Linked DNA regions of Arabidopsis thaliana. The protein of the gene in region 1 interacts with the protein of each later gene in a pairwise test. Each region holds a gene or a part of one and is shown on either strand. Other genes may lie near its edges.

What was found.
Region 2: the proteins of AT2G21530 (region 1) and HB34 interact in a two-hybrid assay, tested with the Arabidopsis thaliana proteins (one large-scale study listed by BioGRID).
Region 3: the proteins of AT2G21530 (region 1) and HB26 interact in a two-hybrid assay, tested with the Arabidopsis thaliana proteins (one large-scale study listed by BioGRID).
Region 4: the proteins of AT2G21530 (region 1) and AT3G12910 interact in a two-hybrid assay, tested with the Arabidopsis thaliana proteins (one large-scale study listed by BioGRID).

What each region holds. Positions count from the first base shown.
Region 1 is NC_003071.7:9,216,225-9,222,383, forward strand, and holds AT2G21530 (SMAD/FHA domain-containing protein), read left to right. Parts: upstream 1-3,027; 5' UTR 3,028-3,147; coding exon 3,148-3,424; intron 3,425-3,519; coding exon 3,520-3,584; intron 3,585-3,669; coding exon 3,670-3,730; intron 3,731-3,922; coding exon 3,923-4,069; intron 4,070-4,160; coding exon 4,161-4,240; 3' UTR 4,241-4,384; downstream 4,385-6,159. Other genes in the region: AT2G21520 (Sec14p-like phosphatidylinositol transfer family protein), read left to right, coding at 1-399, 474-740, 819-896, 974-1,075, 1,164-1,213, 1,314-1,413, 1,504-1,602, 1,691-1,804 and 2 more; SFH3 (SEC14-like 3), read right to left, coding at 4,607-4,621, 4,722-4,793, 4,968-5,317, 5,519-5,630, 5,719-5,736, 5,815-5,904, 5,989-6,088.
Region 2 is NC_003074.8:10,938,759-10,944,742, reverse strand, and holds HB34 (homeobox protein 34), read left to right. Parts: upstream 1-2,909; 5' UTR 2,910-3,206; coding exon 3,207-4,145; 3' UTR 4,146-4,438; downstream 4,439-5,984. UniProt on the Arabidopsis thaliana protein: Putative transcription factor.
Region 3 is NC_003076.8:24,320,149-24,325,580, forward strand, and holds HB26 (homeobox protein 26), read left to right. Parts: upstream 1-3,222; 5' UTR 3,223-3,349; coding exon 3,350-4,021; 3' UTR 4,022-4,187; downstream 4,188-5,432. Other genes in the region: AT5G60470 (C2H2 and C2HC zinc fingers superfamily protein), read left to right, coding at 435-594, 781-1,180, 1,823-2,642. UniProt on the Arabidopsis thaliana protein: Putative transcription factor.
Region 4 is NC_003074.8:4,106,228-4,112,252, forward strand, and holds AT3G12910 (NAC (No Apical Meristem) domain transcriptional regulator superfamily protein), read left to right. Parts: upstream 1-3,147; 5' UTR 3,148-3,189; coding exon 3,190-3,397; intron 3,398-3,591; coding exon 3,592-3,905; intron 3,906-4,031; coding exon 4,032-4,421; 3' UTR 4,422-4,622; downstream 4,623-6,025.

The DNA.
Region 1 (6,159 bases):
GAGGGATTCTTGAGCAGTGATGAGAAAAAGGAAAGAAAGTCAGATTTTGAGAATTCAGAGGATGAGAGGAGAACAAGAATCGGTTCCTTGAAAAAGAAAGCCATTAATGCCTCTACTAAGTTCAAGCATTCTCTTAAGAAAAAGAGCGGAAGAAGAAAAAGTGATGGTCGAGTGAGTTCTGTATCCATTGAGGATGTGAGGGATGTCGAGGAGCTACAAGCTGTTGATGCGTTTCGACAGTCGTTGTTAATGGACGAGTTGCTTCCTGATAGACACGATGATTATCATATGATGTTGAGGTTCTTGAAAGCGAGGAAATTTGATGTTGAGAAAGCTAAACAAATGTGGGCTGATATGATTCAATGGAGGAAAGAGTTTGGTACTGACACTATTATTCAGGTATGCTATTAAATAGAAGATAGTAGTTTAAACCATTGTTGTCTGTTTTTGTAACGTTTTATTTCTCTCGTTAGGATTTTGATTTCGAAGAGATTAATGAAGTTTTGAAACATTACCCACAATGTTATCACGGTGTTGACAAAGAAGGTAGACCTATTTACATTGAAAGGCTAGGGAAAGTTGATCCTAACAGACTCATGCAAGTTACAAGCATGGATCGATATGTAAGATATCATGTAAAGGAGTTTGAGAGGAGCTTTATGATCAAGTTTCCTTCCTGCACTATTTCTGCAAAGAGGCATATTGATTCAAGTACAACTATTCTTGATGTTCAAGGAGTGGTAAGTATTTTCTACAGTTCATGATATTAGTTGTGAAATGAGTTTTTTTCTCATGTGTTTATATAACTTCATATTCAGGGATTGAAAAACTTTAACAAGTCTGCTCGAGATCTTATCACACGATTACAAAAGATTGATGGAGACAATTATCCTGAGGTATTAGTTAATTGGAGCTTCTAATACTTGATCTCAGGTATCAAATGCTAATCTTGGCTTTGTGGTATTTCATGCAGACTCTCCACCAAATGTTTATTATCAATGCAGGGCCTGGATTTAGGCTACTCTGGAACACTGTCAAGAGCTTTCTTGACCCTAAGACATCTGCTAAAATTCATGTATGAGAGATCTAAGTTATATCTCTATTTAAAAGTCTTGTCTTTGATTATATAGAATTCAATATGGACTATTCTATTGTTTATGTAGGTACTCGGATACAAGTATCTAAGCAAATTGCTTGAAGTCATTGATGTCAAGTATGTGAACCTTGACCCACCCTTATTTGATCTGTTCTATCGAAAGCTGCACGTTTTTTTGTTTTTGCTTATGTTCAAAATGGTCTGCACTTTTTTATAGCGAGTTGCCTGAGTTCTTGGGAGGTGCATGTACTTGCGCAGATCAAGGCGGTTGCATGCTTTCTGACAAGGGACCTTGGAAAAACCCGGAAATTGTGAAGGTCATTTACTTAGACTAATCTCTTTTTGGATTCTATTTGTATCATCCAAGTTGGAATCTGAGACATTTGGTTTTCTTCTCATTATTTCAGATGGTGCTTCATGGAGGAGCACATCGAGCGAGGCAGGTGGTGAAAGTGTTGAACAGCGAAGGGAAAGTCATTGCTTATGCAAAACCTTCATATACATGGGTACGTAGTTATTAAATCCTATAACTAGTCAATCTTTAACTTGTGGCTGACCATATTGTGCCTAAACTCTGCTCTGTCATAAACATAGATAAAGGGAAGTGACACATCCACTGCAGAGTCAGGATCTGACGCTGAAGATATCGGTTCTCCGAAGGCTATAAAGAGTTTCTCTCATCTCCGCTTGACACCTGTTCGTGAGGAGGTAACTTTTTTCTCTTTCTTTCTATCTTCTAGTTGGGGAAGTAGTAGATGTTTATCCTGAGGCTTTGCAGGCAAAGATAGCTGGTGAAACAAGCTTGGCTGGTAGTTTTCCGGGTTATGACGAGTATGTACCTATGGTGGACAAAGCCGTTGACGCCACCTGGAAGGTGAAACCCGCCATCCAGAGAGTTGCCTCAAGAGGTTAGTTAGTTAGCTGCTATATGCTTTACGTACCAGTAGGCTCCGGTTTAGAACCAAATACTGAAGGAAAAGAATTTAACCTAATCCTTGTTTACATAGGATTTATTTTCTTATTAGGATTGTTTTGGAGTTGGTTATAAAAACAGAGTTTTTTTGGTCTTTCTTTGTTTGGTGATCTTAACTCTTATCTGTTTCCTTCAGGAGCTTTAATGTCTCCCACCGTTCCAAAAGATCATGAAGGCATCAAGGCTCGAGTCCTAGTAATGTTCATGGCATTCTTGATGGCGGTTTTCACATTCTTCCGCACTGTAACAAAGAAACTTCCAGCGACTACTACTTCTTCCCCAGCAGAAACCCAAGGAAACGCAATAGAACTTGGTTCTAACGGTGAAGGAGTTAAAGAGGAGTGTCGTCCTCCTTCTCCTGTACCAGACCTCACGGAAACTGATCTACTAAACTGTGTGACGAAGAAACTGACAGAGCTGGAAGGTAAAATCGGAACGCTCCAATCAAAGCCAAATGAGATGCCATACGAGAAAGAAGAACTGTTAAACGCAGCCGTCTGCAGAGTAGACGCACTTGAAGCAGAGCTCATAGCTACTAAAAAGGCCCTTTACGAAGCTTTGATGAGACAGGAAGAGTTACTTGCTTACATTGATCGTCAAGAAGAAGCTCAGTTCCAGAAGATGAAGAAGAAGAAGAAGAAACATCTCTTTTGCTTCTGAAGCAAAGCCAAGAAAAACCAGCACCAGGCATCAAAATCTCCCTCTTTCGTAATTCGCTGTTCTTAAGTATAAACAACAAAACAAAACAAAAACTCTTATATCTGATTTGATGTTAAAGCTAATACAGAGAGCTCTGTTTCCTTCTGTGATTATGAGCCACTTTATATTATATGTTTTATTTTTATAATCATAAAAAAATCTGTAACTGTAAACTTGTTAATGCAAAACGAAAAAAGAGTATCGAAATTATTAATCAGGATTCTGTTTTTTTTTAGGATTTTGTTTTTATCCAGATACAAGATATTGTAGCCACATATCCCATATAGTGATTATCTCTTAACGTATCTCAAAAGTTTTTGCATTTTTCTTTACTTCATATTTTGTTTTTGTAAGATCAATCAGTTTTTATGAAGAGAAAATGGAGATAACAATATCCCAATTGTGCTCTCGAGTTAAGTTTTCATCATCATCATCATCATCATCACTTTTCTGTTTCTATGGAAACAGTAATAGAAACAACCTAAATGGAGCTGTTTCAGTAAACTGCTTGAGAGAGAATGAGCAGATCAGTAATATTAGCTTCATTGCGAAGAAACCAAGAAGTCATGCACCGGTGGTGAGAACAACACGCGCCTCCTTGGATGAGAATCAATCCCCAACTTCCGGAGGAGAACGGTGGCTTCTCAAACCAGTTGGTCAGAGGCTATTTTTTTGTTTCTCTAGGTTTAATATCAATGAGCTTCTTTAATCTTTTTGAGTCTTGAAAGTCTTTTTGCCTGAAAACTTATAGGCGATGGAGACACAAGACACATTGGTTACAAAGTGGCAATGCCTGCTCCTTTTGAGATCTCCTCTGTAAGAAACTATACATTCCACTAGATTGATTGATTTTGATGAGTTTTTAGTTTTTGCTAAGATCACAAAAATGGGTATTGAGCAGGGCCAAGTTACCATCGGACGGCTACCGGAAAAGGCTGACGTCGTGATTCCTGTTGCCACCGGTATTTCTCTGTTCTTGTGGTTTTCGGTTTTCTTGAATTTGTAATCAAAGTGAATTTGGTTTTAATATGAATCAATTTGATATAGTTTTGGTTTCGGGTTTAGGTTCGGATTCGGTACTAGATTTTCGATTGTAGATGGTTTATTGCTTTAGTTTGGATCAGAATCCAACACTCCTAGTCTTTTAACCTCAGTGTCAGGAGTCCATGCGACAATCAATACGAATGAAAAGAACCTTCTTGTGACGGATATGAACAGCACCAACGGTACATTCATCGAAGACAAACGTCTAATTCCTGGTGTTGCTGCTCCTGCCTTTCCCGGAACACGAATCACCTTTGGTACACCAATCTTTTCGCATGATTTTCCATCTCTCTCTCTGTGAATGTGATGGACCGATCAATGAGGTTAAACTCTTTGTGTGACTTGCAGGAGATACAAATCTAGCAATTTTCCGTGTTTTCAAGCTCCAAGATAGTGAAGAATCCATAGAGAAACCAACTACAGAGTAACACAAAACCCGAGAATTGCTTATCTTTGCTTGCAATTAACCGGTTTTTGTTGAAATTCTAAGTTGTTTTACAACATTGTTGATTTATATATATATGAACAATAGCTTTTTATATAATATTATAACATATATATTTTTGTTTTTGGTACGTTACAAATTAGGTGTGAAAGAATTGATAAGTGGTAAACATAAGCTTTCAGATATTTCCAGAGGGACAAACAACAAAACATTTACAGAAAGAAAATTTCCCACATTTTTATCTGTAAAAACTCTTCACGAATAATATTTATGTTTATATATATAATAAATATGGATTTATATATATTTTTCCAGGTTTCTTCAAAGTCTTGAGGCATTATCAAGTCTTTCAGAATCCAAAGAACTGAAAACAAAAACAAAAAAAACATATAAATACGTAAACAAAATCAAGTACGAATAAATCTTGAAAAAGAGTGTTTTAAAATGTGTTAGTTTGTTGTTACCTTCTTCTTCTTTTTCTTCTTGTCGATATAAGCCATTATCACATGCTGCGTTGCCATGGTTTCCTCCAGCGTCTGAATTTTCAACAAAATAAAATTGATTTATAACAGGATTATGAAAATGGTCTAAATTTTAGATCAAAAGAATTAAAATAGCTTTTAACTTTTATAAATGAACAAAATAGTCTAAATTCAAACTTCTAAACTCTAAAATAAGAAACTAGTTATGGAGGCTGTTTAACTTTGTACCTTTTTGGTCTGAGCCAACTGAAGCTCTAGCTCGTCGACACGGCTGAGAGCAGCGGTGAGAATCTGTTCTTTCTCTGGCGAGAACGCTGCAGGCTGATTGTCCAAAGACCTACATTTCTCCTCCAACTCGGCCATTCTCTTCACCATCGACATATACTCTTGGTTTGACACCATTGTAGTCTCTGCTTTGTCCACTTCACCACCGTAAATGGCAGCCTCAGTGAGCTTCCTTGGCATGTTCTTCGTTAGCCTCACCACAGTCATTAACCCCATCACCAAAGACATCACTCCCCCGAATAAATAACCTTCTCCTCCTCTCCTCTGCGATGGCTTCACGGCAGAGTATAAATCTGCGACGGCAAGAACACATTTAGGTAATAAGTGGTATTCTTGTTGAAGAGTGTAGCGGTATAGTATAATAGCAGAATCTCTTTTCAAAGACATGAAACTATGATGAATGTTTGGAATGGTAATAAAAAAAAGAATCATGTTTTCAAAACGTGAAAACACGAATAAATTTAGTGTAGTGTCAATGTTTCAATGTAGTGTACCTTCAGGTTCAGGATAGTTTGACTTGTGGAGATTTGTAGGCCATGTAGAAGCATTCACAGTTTTGTCAATCATCGGTATGAATTTTGTGTTCTCTGCATCGAATTTGTTCTTCTGCCAATAGGATTTTCAAAATCAGTCATACAGAGAAAGAGAGAGCTAAAGAAGTAACCTTTATTATTGACAAAAGAGAGAAACTCACCGCAAAGGAATCAGATTTCTTCAAGCAAAAATATGAGAATGTTAGATATTACTGTAAATTTTAAAGATCAAAGATATTTTTGTATTTTGCTTTTACCATTGTTGTGTTCTCGTCCACTGAGATTGTCTTCTCTTCAATGTTTGACAAAGTCTTCCTTGGGCACTTTCCTTCTCCGTTCTGAACCATCTGTATATAGTTCAAGATTCAGCTTCTCAGTTCATCGTTTCGTTAAACGGTTTTCGAAGATTCTCTACTTATCCTACAAATTACCTTGAAGATGTCAGGGTCGTTCCATGGACCTTTGTCAGAACGCATACATCCACCTTTGTCTGCACAAGTGCAGTTACCACCCAAGAACTCAGGAAGTTCACTAAACACAAATAAAGAACAGATAGTTTTCAGATTACGAATTTGCAGCTAAAATGCAGAGTTATGGAGCTC
Region 2 (5,984 bases), on another chromosome or scaffold:
TGAAAATGAATATATATATATATATATATATATATATATATATATATATATATATATATATAATCAGGAAATAAAAGATTAGGTTGGAAAAAAAAATTATAATGGAATCAAATTTTGGAAGAGACTAAGTGGAAAAAATAGTGAAACTAGTTTATGTATATTTCTTTATATTTACACACTAAATAAATTGTATGAATCTTAGTGTACAAAAAAATAGTGAAAGGTGACTATTTTTAAAATAATAAATAATAAAATGATTGTTTTTTAAATTATATTTGGACAATGACTATTAGTCTAGTCACTAGTCTATTTAGTATATTTTTCAACTAATTAAAAAAAAAAAATACGCAGGTGGTCCTCGTGTAGAGAGACAAAAATGGTATTTATCTTTTTAAGAGTATATTATTAATGGTTTTTTAAAATAATTTTTAAATTAAGAGACATGTCTTATAATGTCTTATAATAGCTTATAACTAACAAAAATCTCTTATTTAAAAGACTTTAAAACACTTTAGTTAGATATAAGACATATTTTTTAATTAATAGTTATGTTAAGATACCATCAATAAAAATTGTCTAAGATGGAGTAATATAGTAATTTAATATAGTCCATTGGGCCACTGAAACTTGTCCAAAATCGTTTTACAGTATATCACTAATTTGGTTCGGGTCAGCTAAAAATATGTTCTTAATCTCTCGCGGTCTAAGTTAATAGCCACAGTTAGAAACTAATGCATTATAGCTAATAAACGTACAAAAAAAAAATATTGTTTTATCTTCTTCTGATAATCTGATTCCTGATCTAGAAAAATGTGGTTCCATCATTCTTTCGACCAAGAAAATAGAATAATTCTTTATCATCAAACAAAAAAAACAATAAAGAAAACTTAGTCCCCAACATAATATACATCTTATTCTCATAATAGACATCATTAACCATAATTTTTATGCACCGAATCTGTATATCTAATCCATGTACAGAAATATTTGTAGTACGAAATTCAAAATACACATAGATGCACATAATTTATTTGTGACAAAAAACGAAGAAGGCAAAGATTGTTATATCGGACGTAATATGTGGTTTAATATTTCACGTACCACTTAACTGATGTTTGATGGTGGTGTACGAACCGATTGAGAGATAATTAAAAAAAAAAATCGAAGGATCATATTTTTCGTGTTTGGTTACCGATCGATAGGTTGAATTTCTCGGTCCAATGATGCAATCATTCGTTGGAAAATAATTTGTGATTTCAGAATCCAAAAACATGCGTACAATACGACCTTCTTATTTGCCAATTCATTTGTATAGTGATTATTCTCATCACTATGGTTTAGTCATCATTGGCTTTGTTCTGAAATGTTTTTCTTTATTTTTTTTGGTTTTAGCCGTATTTTGCTTGTTCGAAAGAAGGAGCAAGTTGTGATGCTCTTGATGTGATCGCCCAGAAGAAACTTTGGCCACCGACTTCGTTTTTCTCGGCGATGGTCGCTTGGTACGAACACATTGGCCTTGGCCCATGGCGTTTGCTTGATTGTTTGTACACACCACCGCACATGACAGAGAATCATCAAAATTTGAATATTTTAAATAATAAATATAAATTACATATATTTAGTAAGTTCCGATACTAATTTAGATTTTAGTCTATGACCTTGAATGACGGTAGTTTTTAGACATTAGGTCTTAGTTTTAAACCCAAAAGACCGAATTTGATATAGGATCTATTTATGGTAACCGAAGAATTTAACTGCATATGACTAAAGACATGACTGGTTTAATTGCAGCGGACGGGGCTGTGGTTTCGCTTGCGGTTGCGGAAATTTGCGGAAGCGAGATATTGTGGTTTCAAGCGTTTTAAACGACTAATTTAACGTTTCAAAATAGATGCATTTGCAGAAATCTTATGACTAGATGCAATAATAATTAAATAAATAAAAAAGATCCAAAATAAATATAATATATAGGATTAGATACAAATATGAAAAGATATATACAGAATTATATATATTTATCTTAATTACAAATATGTTGATTATTTATTATTATTTTAATATTTTAATTCAACCGCTACCATCCACAACTACAAACGTTTGCGGGAAGGAGTTTTTGAAATGTATTGATATCGAGCGATCCGAGCAGTATCCCGCGATTTATATGATTATTGTCAATCACTAACAATTGTTACCACATGTAAATGATGCGTTTGCATGTAGTAGAAGGAGAACCAATCAACCCCTTAACTGATGATGGCTGAATTTATTTTAAAGGTGGCTGAATGACTTCAAATGATAACCACTGAATTTATTTGAGATTATTCATTTTTCAATATAGTTACCTGCTGGTAACATATATTTCCTCCATTCATAATAATATCGTTTTAAATATTTTTATATAAATTATTAATATATATTATATTTTAAAAACCAAACTGATTCATACTTTATAGATTTTACATTGAAAATTTAGAACAATACTTATTTTGGAAAAAATCTTTAAACAACAAAACAGAATAAGTATTTTTTTTAATATTATTTTGTGAAAAACAACTATTTAGTTTACAATAATACCTAATAGTATAAGTAAACTTTTACAAAGTTGTTCGGTAATTACATTGTAATAGTCAAATATACAAAATGCTAAACATATTTTAACAGAAGGAACAAATATTAGAATAAAGTAAAAAGAAGCCAACTTCAAAAAAAAACAAGAAGTGTCACAATGCATGAGAATATTAATTATAATTGGACTGTCTTTAGGTTTAAGACATTTATTACTCTATATATATTTCCCCACTCCCTATTACAGGTCCCACTTTTAACCATACATTTAACCATAGTTAAATCATCAAACCCTACCTTTCTCTGTTAAACATCTTCAAGCTCTGTCCTTTTATTTTAAATATATTTATTATTCACATTTATTAACATTTTTATATCTCTCCCTATTAAATTATTTTATTCTCTCTTAGCAACATTCATCAACCAGAGCAGATTCACTATCATCATCTTATAACACATCTTCTTCCTCTAAAGTTTATTTTCTTAAACTTATTACAAAAAACATGATCTTCAAAAGTTGATTTAATCTCTTTTTATCCATCTTCTTCTTCATTTCTCAATATCAAACTTTTCTTTTTTTGTAAGCTTAACATAAACCCTAATATTTTCTTGATTTTTTTCAAGAAAATAAAAACATAAAGATGCTTGAAGTTAGATCAATGGATATGACTCCAAAATCACCAGAACCCGAATCCGAAACTCCGACCCGGATCCAACCAGCTAAACCAATCTCTTTCAGTAACGGAATCATCAAACGCCACCACCACCACCACCACAACAACAACAAAGTCACTTACAAAGAATGTCTCAAGAACCACGCGGCGGCGATTGGTGGTCACGCGCTTGACGGTTGCGGCGAATTTATGCCGTCTCCTTCGTCAACACCTTCCGATCCAACTTCTCTCAAGTGTGCAGCTTGTGGTTGTCACCGTAACTTCCACCGCCGTGAAACTGACGATTCCTCCGCCGTTCCACCACCGTCTCTTCTTCCATCTTCAACAACAACCGCCGCAATTGAGTATCAGCCTCATCACCGTCATCATCCTCCTCCTCCGCTAGCTCCTCCGTTACCACGTAGTCCTAATTCATCTTCTCCGCCGCCTATCTCTTCCTCCTACATGCTTTTAGCTCTCTCCGGTAATAATAAAACCGCACCGTTCTCAGATCTAAACTTCGCCGCCGCGGCTAACCATCTCTCCGCCACGCCTGGCTCGAGGAAGCGATTCAGGACGAAGTTTAGCTCAAATCAGAAAGAGAAGATGCATGAATTCGCCGATCGAATCGGTTGGAAGATTCAGAAACGTGACGAAGACGAAGTTCGTGATTTTTGCCGTGAGATCGGAGTTGATAAAGGTGTTCTCAAAGTTTGGATGCATAATAACAAAAACTCCTTCAAATTCTCCGGCGGAGGAGCAACCACCGTGCAGAGAAACGATAACGGTATCGGCGGCGAGAACAGTAACGATGATGGAGTTCGCGGTTTAGCTAACGACGGTGACGGTGGTGGTGGGAGATTTGAGAGTGATAGTGGAGGAGCTGATGGTGGCGGAAACGTAAACGCCTCGTCGTCTTCGTCGTGAAGAAGAAAACATCATGTCGTTTTGCAGGGAAAGAGTTATAATAATGGAAGCTTAAGCTTTGTTTTTAGCTTTAGATCATAGAGAGTAAGCACTGGTATTATTATCGTTAATACGTTTTATTAATATTAATTAAACTCTTTTAGCTCTTTTTTAATTTTCCAATTTTATTATAATTTCATTACCACGACGTTGTCTTATTTTTCCATTTAAAGTAAGTTTATATCAACAAATTGGATTATGTTATAATAAGTCAATTTTGGTTAATTTAATGAACCCTAATGAGGAAAATTTTATAACTTTAATGTTTTTTTTAATAATATGTTTTTTGGCTTCTTATCTTAAAAGCATTTTGTCTTTTTAAATTGTAACGTTCCCAAAGGTTTCATAATACTTTTCCACTAATGGAAAGATTATATGAACTAATCACCCGAATTAGTCACAACACTATAGGTCAATTTAGGTAATCAAACGAACCCTAAAATGTGAGTCCCAAACATAAATAAACTATTGCAATTTAGTTAATTATTTAATATTATTTGATGGTTTCTTATCTTGAAGAGTACTTTGTCGCTTAATTTAATATGCGATCAAACTAAGATCTAGGTGTCCTTTTCATAAATCTCTCTTTATTCTTTGAGAAAAGAGACAGGTTTTGTTTTATATATTAATTATTCTAATAATATATTTTGCAATGATTAGTTATCTTGGTGTCTAATTAACAAAAGATTCATCGGATAATTCATTTTAATTTCCTCATTAATCCATTTCTTTATCATCCTTACATTCCCACTATCCGTTTTTGGTATATATGCTCAAGTGTTCGATATTCTTAAAGTGCAAACTACAAATAAGTATATATTATATAATTGGGATCTAACTATTATTATTAAAGTGCTATATAGTGTTAATTTAGGGCGTGGAACTAATCATTAACTTTACGAATAATTTAAATAACTTTCTAACTGGGAAACGTAGAAATGCAGCCGTGATTATGCGATAGGCTTAAGACAATTAGATACTAGTCGTGATTAATAAATGTCGGCTTACCAAACATAAAATATTAATAAAACTGTAATTAGATTAGAATATTGCATGAGAAAGCACAAAATATGTTATGTAGTATGCTTTTGGTGTCTAGGATTTAATTCTTAGAGAATACGTTTTGTCTAATTAGCTAGATTTATGGATAAAACTATCTAAAGATGTATAATATAATGTAGATAGAATATCTGGGTTTCTATGTGAATTGTCAATTAAATTTGACCTATGAATGAATATATGCAATGAATTTTATATTACAATAGAATTGTTTGTTGTGCATTCGTTTGTAAATACTAAATAGGTAGTACTATTAATTATGTTTTATAAAAAAAGAAAATTTTGGATTATATTATCATTATGGTTTTAGAAAATCAAATTATTTGTTGAATGATGTTGTAATAGAATAAAAATCTAAACAGTGATAATTCACTTGATTACAGAAATTTATCGAAAAAATCTGAGGTTCAAGTTTTTACTTAAGAAAAATGGTTTACGTTTTTAATAAGTTTTACTAATTAAGGGGTTTTTGGGTCAAAACTAAGGGTTGGTTCAATATATATGGAGAGAGATTTTGGTAAAGATCTATACATTATATATATATATATATATTTTACGTTATCACCAAATAGAATTTGTTAAATTTATGCTAATAAACAAATTAATATATATTTGCTATTATTTTACAGATTTCGTGAAGTCACAAATCTCTTTTTCGTGGTAGGGACAAACTTTAACACAGGGTGAGGTTATGGCCCTAACTGCCATATACCATGTGCACAGTGCACCACTTACTAATTT
Region 3 (5,432 bases), on another chromosome or scaffold:
AATGGTCCAGTACTGTGAGTCCATGACTTACCGACTTGTAATAGAACAGTTGTGTGTAAAGAGAGAAGAGAGATGCCGTCTTCGGCAGCCTCTTCTTTTTGGTGTCATACTCTTCACAAGTGATCAAAACCTCACTCACCCATCACAATCTCTTAAACATAAAAATCCAAAAAGAAAGTTTTTCTACCAACGACCAAAAACTAAAAAAAAAAAAAACTTTCTAAAACTTCAATAATATCCCCACTTTTCAGCCCATAAGAAAATATTTTGATTTAGTTTTTATATGTCACAAAGATGTAGTGTCATTAGATAGATAATCAAGACATTATTACTAGTTTTCTTCTTTCATTTCTCTCTTTCTGTCTTCTTGCTTGTTTAAGTGGAGAACTCTAAGACAAACTAAACTATTTTTTTTTTTTTGTCTCTTCTTACATATGAATCAAGACATGATGATTCCACATAATCATGACCGCCTCTCATTCTCTAGCTTTGTCCATGACCAAGAGCACATCACCCCTAATCCTTACCCTAACTCTCAGCCTGCAGCCTCCACTAAAACACCCAAGAAAAAGAGAAACCTTCCAGGAAATCCAGGCATGTGTATATATAATTTTATATGTTCTCCATGGGTCTTTAATAAAGCTCTAGCTTGATGTGTTTTCATCAAAATCAATAATCTTTTTCCAAGTATAGATCCTTTGTGTTTTCTTTTTTCTTTCTTGATACTGTTTTATTTTTATTGGTTCTAATTTTGTTTCTAACAACAACAACAAAAAACAGATCCAAATGCAGAAGTCATCTCTCTATCTCCAAAATCCCTCATGGCGACAAATCGGTTCTTTTGTGAAATTTGTAACAAGGGGTTTCAGAGAGAACAGAACCTTCAGCTCCACAAAAGAGGCCACAACCTGCCATGGAAGCTGAAGCAGAAAACGAACAAGAATCAGGTGAAGAAGAAAGTTTATATATGCCCTGAGAAGAGTTGCGTCCATCATGATCCAGCTCGAGCCCTAGGAGACCTTACTGGAATAAAGAAGCACTTTAGCAGGAAACATGGAGAGAAGAAGTGGAAATGCGATAAGTGTTCCAAGAAGTATGCTGTGATATCCGATTGGAAAGCTCATAACAAGATTTGTGGTAGCAGAGAGTTTAGATGTGATTGTGGTACTCTTTTCTCCAGGTCATTACTACTCTTTCTACGTCTTCGTCTGCAGCATTATCGTTTGCCTTAACATGTTCATATATCAAACATTTTTAAAAATTGTAACAACGGAAAAAACGTTTTCAAATCTTCAGGTTTGCATTTATTTGAAGTGTTTGATAAAAATATAAATATAAACGTAAAACACAAAACATATTTGAATTATATTTGAAACAAACCGGGTCTTATAATTGGACATCGAAACAGATGCATGCATACATAAAAGCATGATATTGCCTATGCTAGAAAAATAAAAAGTTATTGAGTTTACTTTATGTATAGCGAGTACGTTGGTCTTTGGCTCGTAGCTTGTCATTTGGATACCACTACCGTTAATTATTTCTTGGCTTCTCTGTGTCTTGGTCCAGTTTGTAGTTTTATAGAGACACCAATATCGAGGAGAAAAAAGGCTGCATGACTAGGACATGATGTGGTCATGTCTCCATAGCCTTGAGTCTTTTTTTTTTCACCTTACTACACATATCGATTATAAGCTTGCATCGAATAAAGAGTTGCATATATACCATATACAAGAAGACCTATTTTAATTTAATTTATATGTTACCAATTAGCCTATATTAACATAGTTACTTTATTGAATGATTTGGTTGATTGTACCAGGAAGGACAGTTTCATCTCACATAGATCCTTCTGTGATGTCTTAGCTGAAGAAAGTTCTAAATTCTTCTCAGTTCCTTCACCATTAGCCGCCAATTCGACCATCGCCACTGTCACTGATACCAACAATCCAATTCTCATTCAATCACAATTGGATCAATCTTCCACAGGTACGGCCGATCTTAACGTCAACAACAATCACACCACCCTATTTGGACAAAAGTTCACCAACTCCAACCCAACCCAACAACAACCCAATGCTTTGGCGTTGTCCTCACCACCATCACCTCGTAGTACATCTGATTCGGTTCATAATCTATGGAAGTTACAAGAAGAGGAATGTGCACACCAGTGGTTACTCAATGAATATATGAACAATAACAAAAACATATTCCATAAGGGAATATTCAAGAATCAAGAAGATGAGATAAAGAAGGGAAATATCTACAGCGGCTCAAACCCAACCGATGGAAACATAGCATCCTTGTTCTCGTATAATCAAGAAGCAGTGAATATGGCTTCATTTTCGGCAACAACATTGCTTCAAAAGGTAGCTCAAACGGGAACACCATCAAGCTCCGAAACTAGCACCACCATGTTTGGGCAAATGACTTCCTCCATCTTCAACAATACGATGCTAAACTCCTATTGTTTAACGGCGAAGAATAATGAAGAAGAGTTGACCAGAGACTTTCTTGGTGTGGGAAGTAGTGAGGACCAACAACGTCTACATCGTCATCGCTTCCCATCAAGCGTGCCATTGACGGCGAACCATGATATTCCCAAGTTGGCCGCAACCATTGTAGGCAGGAAGCAACCATAGACATGGCGTCATCTGATTCTGAAATTACTCGTTTTTGTTGACATGCAAGGTAATTAAAGATAGAAAAACTATCTCCACAAGTTCTTTAGAAAAACTATAGAACAAAAACCTGAAGCGATAATTTGTTTACAAAATAATATGTACGTGGAAGTGTATTGTTTAAATCTAAAAATTTTATTTATATATTTTCTCTCATTGGAGACAACGTATGGGATGGGAGCTAGATGCGAGACAACCATCCACAACAATAGGAGAAAAGCGTAGATCACGAGAGAATTTCTGAGTCAACTCGATTTAGTAGACCAGGTTAACTCGGTTGACAAAGATTGAAAGTTATTTGGCCCCACGTGCCACCATGCATAGAGAAACCTAACCATGGATCATGCATGAAATTCGAAATCTCTTTTCTTGCAGAAACGTAAGGTTTTTATCCTCCCCCCCAAAAAAAAAGAAACGTAAGGTTTTTATATAATTCTTAAGCGTTTTCAGATTTGATTAATCATGACTGAAAACACGCATCTCATTCTTCTTGTCTTTTTAAAAAGTTTCCAAACTAATGCTAAATAATAGGATTATTTACTAATCCAAATTGCAATCAACAATGTTATTTATATAAACCTATTGGACAAAATCTCTCCCTTTATGTCATTGACAACATTTCCAGAAACAGAGTATAAACGCACTAGTGAGTGAAATAAGAATCAGACATGAGCTCGTTATCAAAACCAAACAGACAATTTTTGTCACCAACAACAAACAACCAAGACACCGGCAGAGAACAAACAATCGCCTGCGCCCGAGATATGGTTGTCTTGTACAACGAGTGCCTTAAAAACCACGCGGTCAGTCTCGGAGGCCACGCTCTTGACGGCTGCGGTGAGTTCACACCAAAGTCAACCACCATCCTCACGGACCCTCCGTCCCTTAGGTGCGATGCTTGTGGCTGCCATCGCAACTTCCACCGTCGTAGTCCTTCTGACGGCTTCAGTCAGCACCGGTCACCACCGTCTCCGTTACAGCTGCAGCCACTCGCCCCTGTTCCGAACTTGCTTCTCTCTCTTAGCTCCGGTTTCTTTGGACCCTCGGATCAAGAAGTCAAGAACAAATTTACGGTGGAAAGGGATGTTAGGAAGACTGCGATGATTAAGAAACATAAGAGGACGAAATTCACGGCGGAGCAGAAGGTGAAGATGAGAGGTTTCGCGGAGAGAGCGGGGTGGAAGATTAACGGCTGGGATGAGAAGTGGGTGAGAGAGTTTTGTAGTGAAGTTGGAATAGAGAGAAAAGTTCTTAAGGTTTGGATCCACAACAATAAGTACTTTAACAACGGGAGGAGCAGAGACACGACGTCCTCTATGTCTTTGAATTTGAAGTTGTAGATCTCTTTACAGTGATGGGTCTTCATCTTCTTGAGATAAGGAAAAACCGAAACAAAAAGAGGTTACGGTAGTCTCTGATCCGACCGGAATGTCACGTCAGAAATATAAATTATCTAAGTTTTTTTAAAATTAAAAATTATTATCCTAGAAGACTTGTCATTTTGGGCATAACTTGTAACGATGGATCATGACTCATGACATGTATATGGATATGTATTCGAGTGATATTAAGGGTATTTACTCTCTCTTTTTTGTTTATATTTATATATAAGTAAGTATATAGTGTAACAATGCTGTAAATAATAATTCATGAGTGAGTAACTAAGAAAATTGAAATATATAGGTAACTGGTTAATATATAGGAGGAAATCAGTACCTAGTTTTTTTTCTTTCTCTACAGTACTAATCCTAGTTTAAGGAGTAAAAGGTGAAAACAGGATGTAGTCTCTATATAGATACTTCCTACTTGACACGGCTACTTTAACTAGTGACATTGAGAAACACAATAACACTCCTTTTGAATACAAGATGTGACCCATTCTCGTTGACACTACAAACGAATCTCCTGAACTTTAAAGGCAAGTAGATTTTAACTAATAAGATACGTGATTAGGATATTATATGTACATCCATTTAAGGATAAAGCTTCGGTAACAGCCCTCATATAATTGTCCTAAATAAGGATAATGCAATTGTATCTATACACTATATTGTCCTAATACATATATCTTTCCGTAAAGAGTTGGCTCTTCACACACATCTTGAACGAAGCATCTGATGGTCTTTATTCCTTGTCATCAGAAGCTTCTTATTGGGGTGATATTTAATGGAAGATTCTTTGACGAAGGAGGAGTCGTCACCTATATGCTGTTTCAAGTTTCAAATTCCAAATTATAAAGAGATTCGTTTTGTTGAATAATTATTAAATTGATCGACTGGACTTCCATTTTCCCAGATTTGCAATCATGCATGTGGCAAACCAATTTAATTCTTTGACTTAAATTAAAATGAAGAACGAATTTGTTGCTATAGTTGTAGGATGGTTTTTAAAAAAATAAATGTATTATCAATTTATACTAACGCTAGATTAAACTTTATAGTATTGGATTTTGTATTTGATCAGTAGATCAGAATTTTTATTGCAAAAGACATATATATGAATGGGTGAAATACAAAATAATTCCATACAAATGAATGTGATTTTTTATTTGAAAAAATATTAATTGGATGCTATTTCATCAGAATTTTTATTGCAAAAGACATATATATGAATTTTTAATCATTTTTATTGCAAAAGACATTTATAAAATATCACACTGTTTCTAATGAAATAGCATCCAATTATTTATTTTTCAAATAAAAAATCACATTCATTTTATGCAATTAATTCGGCTATCTATCTAGATGATAT
Region 4 (6,025 bases), on another chromosome or scaffold:
ATTTTTGTTTTCTTTTCTTTTTGATGTAACTTTTTATCCTTCTTCGATCCATGTTTTTATTTTTGTACAATTTACAAATTAATAAAAGTTGCCTTCTTCGTGTGCATTCTTAAACTGATGGATCTTTATGAAATTTTATGCATATGAGGTTGAATGGTTGAGTTCTTTTACCAAAATTTCAAAGTCCCAGAGTTTGACTCACTTAATGGTTTTTTACTGCAATGGTTTATCTTTTTGCCAATTTCTCCACGGAATTTCAATTTATATATGGGGACTTTTCCCCACATTTTGAAAGTTAATTTGAGTTACATTATTCATCTCGATCGTTTTCATGGCATACTATATTTACGATTTAGACTTATTGGATTCATGGCATACTATATTTCTAGGTCGTACATAATTTTCCGTTGACTATAAGAAGCAAGAAACAAAAATTATTTTGAAACGGCACCGGTTAACTAAACATATGGTTCAACTTTGAAGAAAGTCCATGTCACATAAGCGGACATAAGCGGTAGGGACTTTATTACAATTGACATGAATCGTGTACTTCAAACAGTATGACGTAGTGGGAAAAAAAAAAAAGTGTGACGTAAGATTTATACGGATTTTCAAAACTCGTGCCATTGCATCCTTCTTTAGTTTTCCTGTTTTAATTTTTATAAAGTCTAAAGTTTTCCACTCACGCCCAATTAAAACTCGTTAACTCACCACAAATTCGAATAATTCTATATAAATAACGTGTTTAAATATGGAATCGTTACATGAATTTTTCTCTCTCTTGCGTTTGGAGCATACATGAGAGTATACCAAAATCTTAAAGTGTGGTTAAATATGTTTCTATACATGCATAAAATAAATATAGGTGTTATGGTTTACTTTTCCCCGATAATATTTTCACCTCCATGCAAATTAATAAGAGTTTTTTTAGTGCCGAAAAAAGTTTATAATAGATTGAGAGGAAGATGTCCAACAAGAACAACTTGGGGTCAACCATTGATGACTCTGGTTGAATTATCCTTTGACTTGACCAGCCGCTACGAATTGACCAACAAATTGAAACAATTAATAAATAGGGGAAGTTATATGAGTTATATTCATTTTTGTTTTTTTTATGTCTACCTTTCAAGCAATTCCCTTTTATATACCGAATTCATGTATTAAATTACTCTCGTTTCCATGGCTTCCCTATGTTTGTTACTTCTATTTTACATCAGAACTAGATTAGTTAATATTTTCTCTGTACGTCCAATTTTATAAATATTTTGGCTACAAACACACATATTAAGAACTTTGTTTTACTTACAAAAATAATTTAATATTTTAGTTAAAAAAATAATAATAAAGATAAAAAAATGATCACAAAATATTAAAAGCGTTTAAATTTATATAGAAAATGTAAGATATAAAGTATATCTAATAGAATGAAACAATATTAAGATAGTATTAGTTCTTTTTAACATTCCAATGAAATTTGATAATGTTTGTACCGGAGAATGATTCCTTCTCTAATTTTTTTTTTTAAAATAAAAATAAATTTTCTAGTTCTAGACATGTACATCTTTATCATATTGAGGATTAAAATATTATGTATGATTTTCTTCTAAATACCATTCGAAATCAGTGACTTTTAGATTTTATTTAAAATATTTTACTCGTTGTGCTATTTGTACCGGGTACTTTTACCAAAAGCTTATCTAAAAAAGTGGTAAAGATTTGGACAAAAAAGTCAGAACCAACATTACTTGAATAACGTTTTTTCGTAGAGTGAGTTTTGACAATGAGCAGTGTATTAATGGGAGAGACTCTTTCAGTGCAGTGGAAATTGTGGTTTCTGAATATAATAGGTAATTATGGTGACAATAATTATAAGTATTAGTATTTCCACTACTTTTAAATAGACAGCATATTTCCACAGCTTTAAGCACGCTCCTCTGATCGAAATTTCGCCTCGTGGATTTTGCAAATAGTGTTACAACAATTACCACCGGATTAAATATGATTTTTCTCATATTTAAAAAAGAAAAAAATGTGGTATAGTAAGTCATGTTGCATTCTTCAGAAAAAAGTAAGGCATTACAAAAATGTAAGGTCGTCCAGTGAGATGGTGGAAGATAAGCTTCATTGTCCAGAGAGAAGTAGTTTGGAAATAATTTTAATTTATGATATATAATGGATATATATGTACGTAAAATAATTAATTGTTGAGATATCAATCCGAATGAAGATGTAAGATCAACATAAACGAAGAAATCCGATATGCCGATCTTTGAAAGTATGGTTTGTTAATGAGTTTCAGTATTATTAATTGGATCTAGATATAATTTGGAATTAATAAGCTTCTGGGGATTGGTTGGCTACTAACGACGGTTTATGAACCATCCCGTAGCTGTAGTTATCAGTTGCAACGATATTAAAATAAAGGGACAAGAGACGAGTTTAAATTAAGACCAATTACTTTCAAGTTCAAAAACCAAGCTTAACTAATAACTACAATAACCAGTAAAATATTTTGGAGAAGTGAGAAAGGAACTGACAGGTAATATTCGGTTTTTATTTGGTGGATCTGTCATTGTCAATTTCGGAGAAATTACCAAATAGAAAAATAAAAAATGTAACAATATTCATATTTTTTCTTTTTAGTTTGTTGATCTCTCCAAGACTCCAAGTTAAAATCTCCAAACGAAGCAATACAAATCTTACCTTTACGAGCACAAAGTCGGATTTATGCGTTTAACGTCATGATGATTAGTAGATGTTTTGTGGTGGTCAAGAATATAATATGCAAACAATTAATGATGGGTCTAGAAGAAGTTAATGTTGTAACAATGAATACTCGTCAGACATTTTGGAAGAGAACACACAAAAATTAAATTTTTGTGTGTCAAAAAGTCAGTCCTCTCCTTAGCGTTTTCCTTGCGTCCTAATAATGCGAAAGGTAAAAGCGTCATATTTATTGGGTCCACGTATAGATGCGAAAAGACTCGTTCTAAAAACTCAAGCCCAAAAGACTTTTACCGGGTCGGATATATCATTGATTACAAAGGATCACTAAGTCAACAGAAATGACTTGACCAAATCGATCTTATGATAGATAGACACACGACACAAACTCTCTTTATATAAATCTCAAGAAGATTCTTATATGTGAGTCCAAAGAGCAAAAAGGAAGAAATAGAAACCAAAGCCATGGAGAAGATGATAGAACCACGGGACAACACAAGAGAATCAGAAGATGAGGATGCGTTAAAGCTTCCAGGGTTTAGGTTTCATCCGACGGATGAGGAGCTTGTAGGGTATTATCTCTCTAAAAAAGTGCTTCTCAAAAAAACGAGCAAGATTGATGAGATCGTCAGCCAAATTGATATCTATAAATTTGATCCGTGGGATCTTCCAAGTAAGTTTGTTTTACTCACTCTTGCTTTTTTCTGTTTTTTGCACTCCAAACCATGCAAACACAAATAGAAAAAAAATTAGGTCTAACTTTTATGAGAAAAACAAAAGTAAAGTCGTGTATGCATGTTTGTGAAGTAAAATTAACACATAAATTATTGTTATAAACTGATGATCAAACATAATTTTTGTTTGAAGGGTCGAGGAATACAGAGAAGGAGAGCTACTTCTTTTGTAAGAGAGGAAGGAAATACAGAAACAGCATAAGACCGAACCGAGTGACTGGTTCCGGTTTCTGGAAAGCCACAGGGATAGACAAGCCTGTCTATTCCGATGGATCCAACAAAGCCGTGATCGGTCTAAAGAAGACACTCGTTTATTACCTAGGAAGCGCCGGGAAAGGAAACAAGACGGATTGGATGATGCACGAGTTTCGTCTCCCTACAGCCAATGACACAATCCCCGGTGGCCCTACACACTCTAACCCTACTCCAACTTCCTTGCTACACGCGGTAAGTTTGCTATCTCTTGATCATGATCATGCATGGTTGGCCACTATAAACGCTTCACATGGCAAAAATACATAGGGTTTGAGAAAGAATGCTCATGGATGGTTCTTATTAACTATATAATTGCAGGAAGTATGGACGTTATGCCGGATATTTAAGAGAACTGTGTCTAGTCGAAAATACACTCCGGACTGGAGAGAATTAGCAAATGGCAAACGTGTGAAGCAGCAACAATCTAATTACCAAGAAGCTTATATAAATTTTGGGGACAATGAAAGTAGTAGTAGTACCAACGTGATGAACGTTAGGGAAGGCAAAGGGAACTACGAGAGAAGCGTTTTCCAGCTTCAGCAAACGCCTTATCAACATCAAAACCAGCCAATTCTCATGGACACCACACACGTTGATTCGTTTCAACATTTCTCCAACGATAACATTCACCATGAAACCTACGAGACTTGGCCGGACGAGCTTCGATCGGTTGTGGAATTTGCTTTCCCACCTTCTTTTCTTAGTTAGATCTCTAGAATAATTAACAACTAATATGTATACATATTACATATTACTAGCTTGGACGTGTTGTATCATCAGATCTCTACTGTATACATGGATCGTGTGTATATGAATATGCACCTGTTTGAATTCTCAGGTTGATCCACACGTATATAGTATGTATTAATGTCAATTTAATCTCGGGAACTATTTGCATATTTTGTTTTATTAGCCCTCTTATTTTATGTTTTTCGGTTAGACGAATAGTGGACTTGTGGTCTTGTTATCTTTAATAAAGTAACAAAAGCGTTTAAAAAAACATTAAGAAGCCCACAAAGGAAACAAAGCCCATTAGGTGGAGGAGATGAAACGATGGAACTTCTTGTCTTGTCACGGATGAGAGAAATATTGGAGAGAACCATTGGAGAGAAAGCAGAGTTACTTGCCAATTTCGAATTCTGAGAGCGAAGAGCCGAGATTCTGTTTGTAGTTTGGATGATGAATACGATTGTTCATGTTCCTTTTATCTCCAGATTTCGTAAATTCGTCAATTTAAGAGACGATTAGCTCAGTTTACAATCGAGTCAGTATATATCGAATTAAACTGCAGAGGTTTTGGGTGTTCCCGAGACATGACTAGGATATGGTTCAATAAACAGTTGGAATTGGCGTGAAAATTGTAGATAGGTTAAGCTTTATACTTCAAATCATGCAATCGAGTAGTCTGATATCATTTTACTGACTGATTCCACTGGTTATCCAGTAGCCAACTATGTACGTGTGATTGATTGTGTAGTAATTTCCGTCTTGTACTTTGTAAGTTGGGTTCTTATTCTGCTGCATTTGGCTATTCCGTGTCTGATGACCTTTGTTTTTTCCTTTTGCAGCTTTGTTAGAGTCTCATTTAGATCCATGTCTCTTTGCTTTAATTGGTCACAATGCTTCTTCTGGTTTTATTGCAGCGGAAACGGTTTATTGAACAAACGAAGACTCTTTATGGTATGAATTTCCTGGCATCTGTTTCAAGTTTACTTTCTAAAACCTGGAAGTTCGGCACATGAGCAGTTCCTTTTAGAACAGTTTGTTTACTTAAACCTTTGACGCCCTTTTGTGTACTGGTATAAACCTCCTGCCTCTTCTCTCATCTGTTTCAGGCTTCGATTCCACCCTTCATATTACAGTCGCAATTACAAACTAGTGTCAATGAGAGAACCCAATTCGATCAGAGGTATGCTTTCTCTTCTTGACAACAAGTAAAGTAAACAGGGTTTCTGTTTCTCCACTTCCTTTTATGGTTTTGGTTTTGAAAAGTGAAATCTTTATGTGAAAGTTCCATTTTTTTGTTTTAATAGGATTTGAGATTAATGAGTAATTTAAAATAAGTGAGCCTATTTAGGCCCTAAAGACAAAAAAAATCCTAACTTTTTGTCTTTTTTTATTAAACTAAAATATCAGGGTCATGATTTACAATCTTTATTTTTTCTTGATACTTTTCATGATTTTAGTTTGTAAAAAAAAATGTATAAAATCATAAACCAATAACACCATAATTAAAATCATTAAGAATCATAGATTCATTTGTTTTAGTTTAATAACATCAATTTTTAATGACTTTATTAAATTATGAATCT